2 linked regions of the Cricetulus griseus genome follow. The protein of the gene in region 2 binds, or shares a complex with, the protein of the main gene of each other region. Links are inferred from orthologs where the notes say so. Each region holds a gene or a part of one and is shown on either strand. Other genes may lie near its edges. The genes, in order: Scarb2 and Gba.

What was found.
Region 1: the proteins of Gba (region 2) and Scarb2 are in contact, whole or in part, in a cryo-EM structure (PDB 9FJF), measured with the Homo sapiens proteins. The link is inferred for Cricetulus griseus from reciprocal best matches to the Homo sapiens genes GBA1 and SCARB2. Residues at the interface, in NP_000148.2 of Homo sapiens: Leu130, Asn131, Ala134, Ile169, Glu190, Lys194, Leu195, Pro430, Arg434, Ile445, Thr446, Asp448; in NP_005497.1 of Homo sapiens: Lys161, Ala162, Tyr163, Gln164, Lys181, Glu183, Leu187, Phe191, Arg192.

The regions. Positions count from the first base shown.
Region 1 is NW_023276807.1:157,262,577-157,266,391, forward strand, and holds part of Scarb2 (lysosome membrane protein 2), read right to left. Parts: intron 1,463-3,815; coding exon 1,315-1,462; intron 1-1,314.
Region 2 is NW_023276806.1:65,351,750-65,356,102, forward strand, and holds the start of Gba (lysosomal acid glucosylceramidase), read right to left. Parts: upstream 2,892-4,353; 5' UTR 2,706-2,891; intron 2,373-2,705; 5' UTR 2,340-2,372; coding exon 2,285-2,339; intron 2,033-2,284; coding exon 1,841-2,032; intron 1,729-1,840; coding exon 1,582-1,728; intron 597-1,581; coding exon 463-596; intron 244-462; coding exon 71-243; intron 1-70. UniProt on the Homo sapiens protein: Glucosylceramidase that catalyzes, within the lysosomal compartment, the hydrolysis of glucosylceramides/GlcCers (such as beta-D-glucosyl-(1<->1')-N-acylsphing-4-enine) into free ceramides (such as N-acylsphing-4-enine) and glucose.

The sequences.
Region 1 (3,815 bases), on a different chromosome or scaffold from region 2:
ACCCAGCTCTCTGCCTGCCCCTCTGCAGAATGGGCCAGAAACTAAACAGAAAATCCAACCAGTGACCTCCCTGTCTGTGTGTGAAGTAAGATTTCAGCCATGGCCCTTTCTGTGTGTGTGTGTGTGTGTGTGTGTGTGTGTGTGTGTGTGTGTGTGTGTGTGTGTGTGTGGACTTCATGGCCTTGCGCATGGTAGACAAACCCTCTACCACTGATCTCTATCCTAAGCCCCAGCCCCCTTTTGTAAATTTTGAGACAGGGTCTCACTAAGTTGCCCAGACTAACCTTGAACTGACTCTGAAACCCAGTCTGAGCTTTTTAATTGTTCAGTTTTTACCTCAGAAAGGAGCTGGGATTACAGACCTGGACCACCAGATCATATCCACCTTAATGTAACTGTGATTTTAGAATTCCTGTTAGCGGGTTCTGAATGATGCCCAACATCACAGAGATCCCATAAGTGCAAAGGGACCTTTAGCCACCAGGTGGCTCCACTTCTCCTGGAGCAGACTGGTGACTGAATCTCCACATCTTTAGCAGCAGGGCAAGGCAAGACTTAGCATCTGTGCTCTTTAAGGTACTGGGTTCCTAGAGTGTGGAAGCCTCAGAGGAAGTTGGTGCAGAGGATTAGGACTAGGGATATGGCTCACTGGGTAAAGCAGCCCCTGACCCCCTTCTGGACTACTCAGGAAGCCCAGAGTTTGATCCCTAGTACCACACTAAAACAAAGGCTAGCCTGGGCTAAAAGAGATCCAGTTTCAAGAAAGAAAGACCCTGAGTCTCAGGATGGCATAAGTACCAAAAAAAAAAAAAAAAAAAAAAAAAAATTCCTTACTTATTTGCATAAATGCTAATCCTGAACCCAAAGGAAAAATCCCAGAGACCTAATCTTTGAATAACTTTTGTAATGACCTTGTTTTACTGACCTCAGAAAAAGTCTATATCTATATACTTAATAAAAGTACATGTACATGAAAGGCTTGCTAGGCATTGCCACTGGAGCATGCCTATAATTCAAGATTAGGAAGACAAAGGAAAGGAGATTGACACAGCCAGCTGGAGGCCAGGAGCAACCCCACCCCCACACCCCAACACATACAAATAAAGTCTTTGTGCACGTCCATATTTTATGCTTGTTTGTTTGTTTTTATGGTGGTTCTAGGATTAAATTCAGGGACTCACCACATTAAGCAAGACAAGCCCCCCATATCTATATTTTATCATAAAATAATAGCTTTTAAATTACATAGAACCTATAAGGCTTGCCATTTTCCTTCCACAAACCCATGATAACCATACTTTGAGGTCCACTTACCAACAGAGGAATATTTATCGTTCTAATCAAGTCAACATTAGTGTCGCCAACAGATTGGTTTCGTTCAAAAACATATGCCTTATTGCTAACAGCCGATATGGTTGTTCCATTCTCTCCAAATTGGATGTTTGCCTTGTTCCTGATTTCCCTAAACAAACAAACAAACAAACACATTGTTTGAAAACAGATACCACATTAACAAACCAGCCCTCTGTTCAGTATTAAAGTTACATTTTTTCTATATAACATTTCTAATAAAATGACTATGTACGTAGGCTGTTGATACTCAGTTCTTAAAAACTACAGATTAGAGCCAAGACGCTGAAAGGGGATAGGGTCTAGGAAACGCTTCTCAAAATCTATTGTTCCACTTTCTTTTCCTCCCAGAATCAGGGAGATATAACAGTCAAACAATGAACTCTTTCCTGAATTACAAAAATTACAAAATTACAAAATCTCTTAGAAAGATGTTGGTGTATAGTATAATAGGTAACAATCGTTGACATTGATAATTACTTCTAAGGAGCTAGATGAGAAGTTTGTTCAATGCTCCCAATATAAAGAAATGACAAGTATCTGAGATGATGAATATACCATTTAGTCAGAGCTAATCATTAAATATTTATGCTAATCATTAAATATTTACACACTATAAATTACTTCGTCAATTTAAAAGCACATCTCTCAAAGTGCTTGGGCTGGGTGGGTATGACTTCTTGTGCCTGTGATCCCAGCTCTCTGGAGGCTGATGGACCGAGAGTTAGCGGCCAGTCCAGACTCTGTAGTGAGTTCCAGGCTACAGTGTGAGAGTTTGTCTAAAAAAGGGAGGGGGCAGGGCTTGGTATATGGCCTAGAGTGAATTTGAGGAAGAATTCACTGAAGGTATGAAATGCAAGATGTATCTAAGGTAATCCAAATAAAATATTATTTTAATGCAATATTTTTTTTCTAAATTTGGTGGAGCTTTTTGTTTTGTTTGAGATAGGCTTTTACTCTGTAGCCCTTGTTGGCCTCCAACTGGGGCAATCCTCCTGTGTCAGCCTTCCAAGTGCTAAGATTACAGGCATGTGCCACTACATCTATTTAGAAAATCTTTAGTTACATATGTAGTTAACAAAATGTCATCTAAAACTCTATAATCACATACAGATTAGAAGACCCCTAGCAGCTGGGCCATGACCCCTCCCTCCACTGGCCCTTTCTGACCTCGGCAGTTCTTGGGGATTTTTTTTTTCACCCATCTGCTATTTGTAGAGTTTGCTAATTGTACTTGCTTTAGGCACTCGGTTATAAACCTGAGTGAAGTCGTGTAGATTGTGAAGGAATTACCTTGTAGTCAACAATAAAATGGCAAGCCAGCTGATGACATTTAAAAAACAAAACAACAGTCCTGCCATGTAATTCTGGCTGACCTGGAACTCGCAATACAGATCAGGCTGTCCTCAAATTTATAGCAACTCTCCTGCCTCTGCCTTCTGAGAACTCAGATTACAGCTATGCACCCCTGTGTCTGATACTTTCTAGATTTAAAATAAGAATAGATAAGAATGGCTGGACAGTGGTGGCACAAGCCTTTAATCCCAGCAGTTGGGAGGCAGAGGCAGGTGGATCTCTGTGAGTTTAAGGCTCTTGCCTGGTCTGCAGAGCAAGTTTCAGGAAAGGCTCCAAAGCTACACAGAGAAACCCTGTCTCGAAAAACAACAAAAAACAAACAAAAAAATAAGACTAGATAAGAAAATAATAAAGGCACATGTTGAAAGGTTCAGGCTTTGATGCTGATCGGCTCTGCCTCTATCTCTTTAAGAGGCAGAACCCGCCCCCTGACAACAGTCAGGGCACGCACAGGGACGTGCCATCACATCACCCACCACGCATTACGGCCTGCGTGAGGACTCTGGGCATGCGTGGAACCTCAGTGCGCAAGTGCAGTCTTCCCTTTAAAAGTTCCAACTTCCCTGCTGCTCTCTCTTTACTCTTTTATTCTTTACTCTCTACTCTCTCTCTGTTTCTTCTTCGCTCTCTCTCACCTACGTGCCCTCTCTGCCTCTCTATGGCGACCGGCCATGGCAGTCAGCCATTACCCCTGTTCCTCTTCTCTCCTAGTCCCCTTATTCTGCCGGGCCTTATAATAAACTAGTTAACATGTCTCATACGCCTCTTCTCCTCTTTTTCTTCAAAAACATAACACATGTAATAAATGGGCATACACAAGAATAGAAGAATAGACAAGTCTTTGAATGTCCCATAGTGCTAAGCCCTGCACTATACACAGTAGCCATGAAGGACCTTTACTAGGCCCTTCACAGGATTGGAGAGAATCCAAATGATGATGAGTGGTGACTAACAAATGTCAGTGGGATGTAACCAATGCTGAAACACAGGCCAAATTTAAATAATTACGAGAGAGAAAACAATCACATGTCTTCTAGGAATATATAATGCATCAGATGGAGATGGCTGTTTCAAACATACTTATAGTCTGAAGTTCAGAGGTCTGCAGT
Region 2 (4,353 bases):
ATATAGACCAAGGTGTCCAAAAGAGAGGTTGGTACAGACCCCAGTCCCCAAGGCCCTGATGATCCCTTACTTGACAAAGTAATTGGCCCAGGTCCGGTGATAGACATCCCCTGCCTGACCCTTGAGTGACCCTTTCCCATTCACTGCTCCATTGGTCTTGAGCCAAGTGGGAGATGTCCAGGGACTGGCAAGGAGTGAGATGGGGCGTGGGGACATCTTCAGAGCTCGGTGAATCAGGGGTATCTGGAGACAGATGTCGTGGAGAGAGAGACACCCAGAATTGGAACACAAACTAGCCTAACCAGTGCATCAGGTCCAACTGCCGTCACCCACCCTCCTACCCCCAGGTCAAACAGGCTGCAGGAGAAGATTCTACCTAGATCTGCAGAAAGCTCTAGCCTGGACCTTCCCAGTCCCCAGACAGCAATACCAAGAGGTATCTGAAGCAACCAGAATGCCCACCTTGAGCTTGGTGTCTTCTTCTGTGAGGCTGAAGTTGGATAACTGGAAGTCATTAGGGGTGTCAGCATAGGTGTAGATTCGGATGGAGAAGTCACAACTGGCCATGGGCACCCGGATGATGTTATATTCAATTCCTGCAGAAAAGGATGGCCAAGATAGGGAAACCTGGCTCAATAGAGTATGGAGCTGAATGAGGTGGCACCATGACTGTAATGCCACACCTCTAGAGGCTAACAGATCCTTGTGAGTAGGCTAGTCAGGGCGAGAGGGAGAGAGAGAGAGGGGGGGGGGAAGGCAAGTGTGGAAATTGGCTTTAATCGTGTGTTAGTCCTCAATGGGGTCTCATTCAATACAGTCCCTTCTCCAAAGGGAATGGGGCATGGAACTGTAGGAACCAGAACCTGAGTGAAGAACAAGCCCCTCTTGAGCAGTTTTCATGCCCCCTTAAATACTTAGAATATTAAAAATCTATCTCGTTTCAGTCGCACTGAGGTACAAACACTTGGGGACTTGTGATCCCAGCTCTTGGGAGACCAAGTCAGGAGGAGTTTGAGGCCAGTCACGGCAAGGCTGATACAGAAAGAGGGAGGAAAGGAACAGAGGGGAAGAGGAAAGAGAGAGGCAGGATGGAGATGTAGCTCAGGTTGCAGAAAGCTTGCCTAGAATGCATAAAGCCCCAAGTTCCAGCACTGAGTAAACAGGACGCAATCTGTAGTCCAGCACTCAGGAGGATCAGGAGTTCAAAGTCATCAGTGACTACACAGTGAATTTGAATCTGGAATACATGAGACCTGCTCTGAGAAGGATAGAGAAAGGAGGGGAGAAGAGAAGGAAGGGAGGAGGCAAATGTCAGGGAAGAACATGAAAACCAGAGTAAAAAGGCTGGCAGGATGGCTCAGTGGGTAGGGCTGCCTGGTGCCAAGCCCGAGGACCTGATTCAATCCCCACAATCCACATGGTAGAAGGAGACGATGGACACCTGAAAATTGTTCTCTGGCCCCACACCCATGCTCAGCACATACAATAAATAGTAAAATGTAATAGAAATTTAAAAAATAAAGCCAGGGTATAAAAAAAGATATCACTTATACTGTGTAATCTTATTCTGCCCTTCCTCACCTTCACTAGAGAAGTATGATTTGAGCAGCAGATTCTGGGCAGAGGGGGACAAGGCAAGGATGTTGAGGGCAGTGGCATCTGTCATTGCTCCTCCAAATCCTTTCACTTTCTGGAACCTCTCTTCTGGACGCAAGGTCAGTAGTAGACCTGAGGACACCATGGGGAAAAAGGGGCACAGTCAGTGTACAGATACTGATAACTGATGTGATTTCGAGCCAGGGGGCCCAGCCATGCTTAGAGTGAGAGATAAAGTGACTACCTGTGCCTGTGCGATTGGCCTGGATGGACCCGACACTCAGCTCCATCCGACGTCCACTCCGAGTACTCTCATAGCGGCTGAAGGTACCAGCAGCAGGTAAGGTCAGGGGGTCAAGAGAGTCACAGTATGTGGCATTGCAGACACAGACCACTGAGCTGTAGCCAAAACTTTTAGGGATGCAGGGTTGTGCACCTACAAGTCAGGGGCACAAACGGAGGCAAGCATCAAAGTGGATGGTCAGGGGAGTGGGTTTGAGAGTCAAGAGCCTGAACAACAATGTTTTAAAAGATCCCTCCACTGTACTCCCAGCCCATGGTTGTCTCAGGCACACTATAAGAGTTACAGAGCCTCTGCTAAAAGCTCACCACCATAGTGGCAGGTTTGCAAACGACCTCGGGGCAGAGGAAATATCCATGCTGCCACCCCACTCCTTGACTCACTTACCATATGCCCATGATACTGCCTGAAGTAAGAAGAATCCTATGAGCCTGGCAGCCATGACACCTACCCTGCCCAGGTGTTTGAGACACTCCTGAGAACAGAATGAGGAACGATTAGAAGGTAAGCCCCTCTCTATCCCCTAACCACTCTCCTGGCCAGGCTTTAGCTGCCTGTGGGTGCCCACAACATAGTCTCCCATCTTTATTAGTGATTAGACAATGCCCATAGACACTGTATGTGTTCCTCTCTGCAGCCACTCTGCTAGTGAGTTTTCTGCCTATCCCATCGATTTCAACCTTCAGCCCTCTCTCCATCTGTGTCTTACTCAAAGAGCCATGATGGCCTTAATTTTTAAAAAGAATCTGCCATTCCCTGAATTCTAGAAGCAAGGTTGACAAGGCAAATTGAAATCCTGCCTGCTTACCTTTCTGGAAGGTCGTGAAGACTTGAGCTTTTCAGGGTCAATGGATGAGGAGAAGATTGTGGCAATTCCAGAGTGCTGGAGAGATAGAAGACCTATGAAATAAAAACAGGGATGTAGCTATAGCTACAGGATCCGGACTGGCACAGCAAGTTAATTCCGGCTTAAAGGGGAGGACAAAGTCATGTGATGACTAAGGTGATCACGTGATAAGGAAGTGAAGCAATTGAAGCCATATTTGTAGTGGGCAGCCGGGCTCTTCCAGGCGTGAGTTCTTCAGGGTCAATGGATAAGGAGAAGATTGTGGCAGTTCCAGAGTGCTGGAGAGATAGAAGACCTATGAAGCCTACGTGGTTGACAGCTTTAGGAAGAGGCTAGAACAAGAACTTGTGTGAAATGCTGCATAGAGGCTCCATTTTCAAGACAGAAGGAACTTGTAGCCTCCAAGGATCCCTGCACTCCCATGCACATACCCACAAGTGGATATACACAACATATTTAAAAAATAAAACACATACACACAGTCTTTGCCCTAAGGAGACTAGTGAGGCACAAGAGTCAGACAGTTGCACAGTTACAGATGAAGACAAAAGCAATGTTGACAGGTGTGCATAGAGGACTTCCTGAGAGGAAAAGGGACCCTCTGTGGTTGAAGACTTCTCCACAAAGGCTTAACACAGGAGACGCTGGAGGGAGTTACAGTGAAGTGCCCTGAGTCACAGTCCAGCACTGGGTGGCAAGAGTGAGGAGGGGGGAGTAGTGCCCACTGCCTCTTCCTGGATCCCCTCAGTTCATCATCAGATGCTGGCTAGAAAGATGTCATCTCCCCACACAAGACTGGGAGGTTGGTGAAGCAGTCCAGAACTGGAAAGTGCTGTATAAAGTTATATATCTTTGGTAGACACAGAGGAGGGCTGTCCACAGGATTCTCTGTGAACCACATCAAGCTAAATTTATTGGCAGTGACACATACAATACGATCTGACTAATTCCATGTCGCTAAGCCTGTTTCCTCACTTGGAAAACAGAGACAACAGCAAAGTCTCACAGGGCATTAAAGGAGTCAGGAAGATAAGCCAAGTGGGAGCACTTGATAGGCATCAGGAGCTTTATGCTTGTTGACTGAGTCTCTTATGTTTTTATGATTATAACAGTGAAGTCTTTGCCACATATCCTCTGAAAATTGATTACTTATCTTAGATCCAGACTTTAAGTGTAGCTTCTGGGAGATTCATAGTGTTTGAATCCTGACAGCTCCCAATCATTTACTGTTTGGTTATCTTGTTGAGATCAGCAAATTAATTCCTCTAAGTCTGCTTCTTATCTATAGAAGAGGAGTGATCCTGTCATCTCACAGAGCTATTTTGAGATGAGTGTGTTTAGAACAGTGCTTCACACTGAGTGTTGCAACTAAGCAGTGTTTATTGGGGAACCTTCAAGGCAATGTTTTACTTGTTCTAGGCAGCCTCAAAGCCTTTGTGGCATCTACTATGTCACAGGGATAGGTGGCAAATTGTCATATTTATTGAACTGCTGTATGGCTCTGACTGTCTGTACCCACCCTTTTTTAGATTTCCTGAATTCCAGGAAGTGTTGCCTAACTCCCCTCTAGTTCATCCATCCACAATTCCAGAGCTCTGTGTTTGTGGCC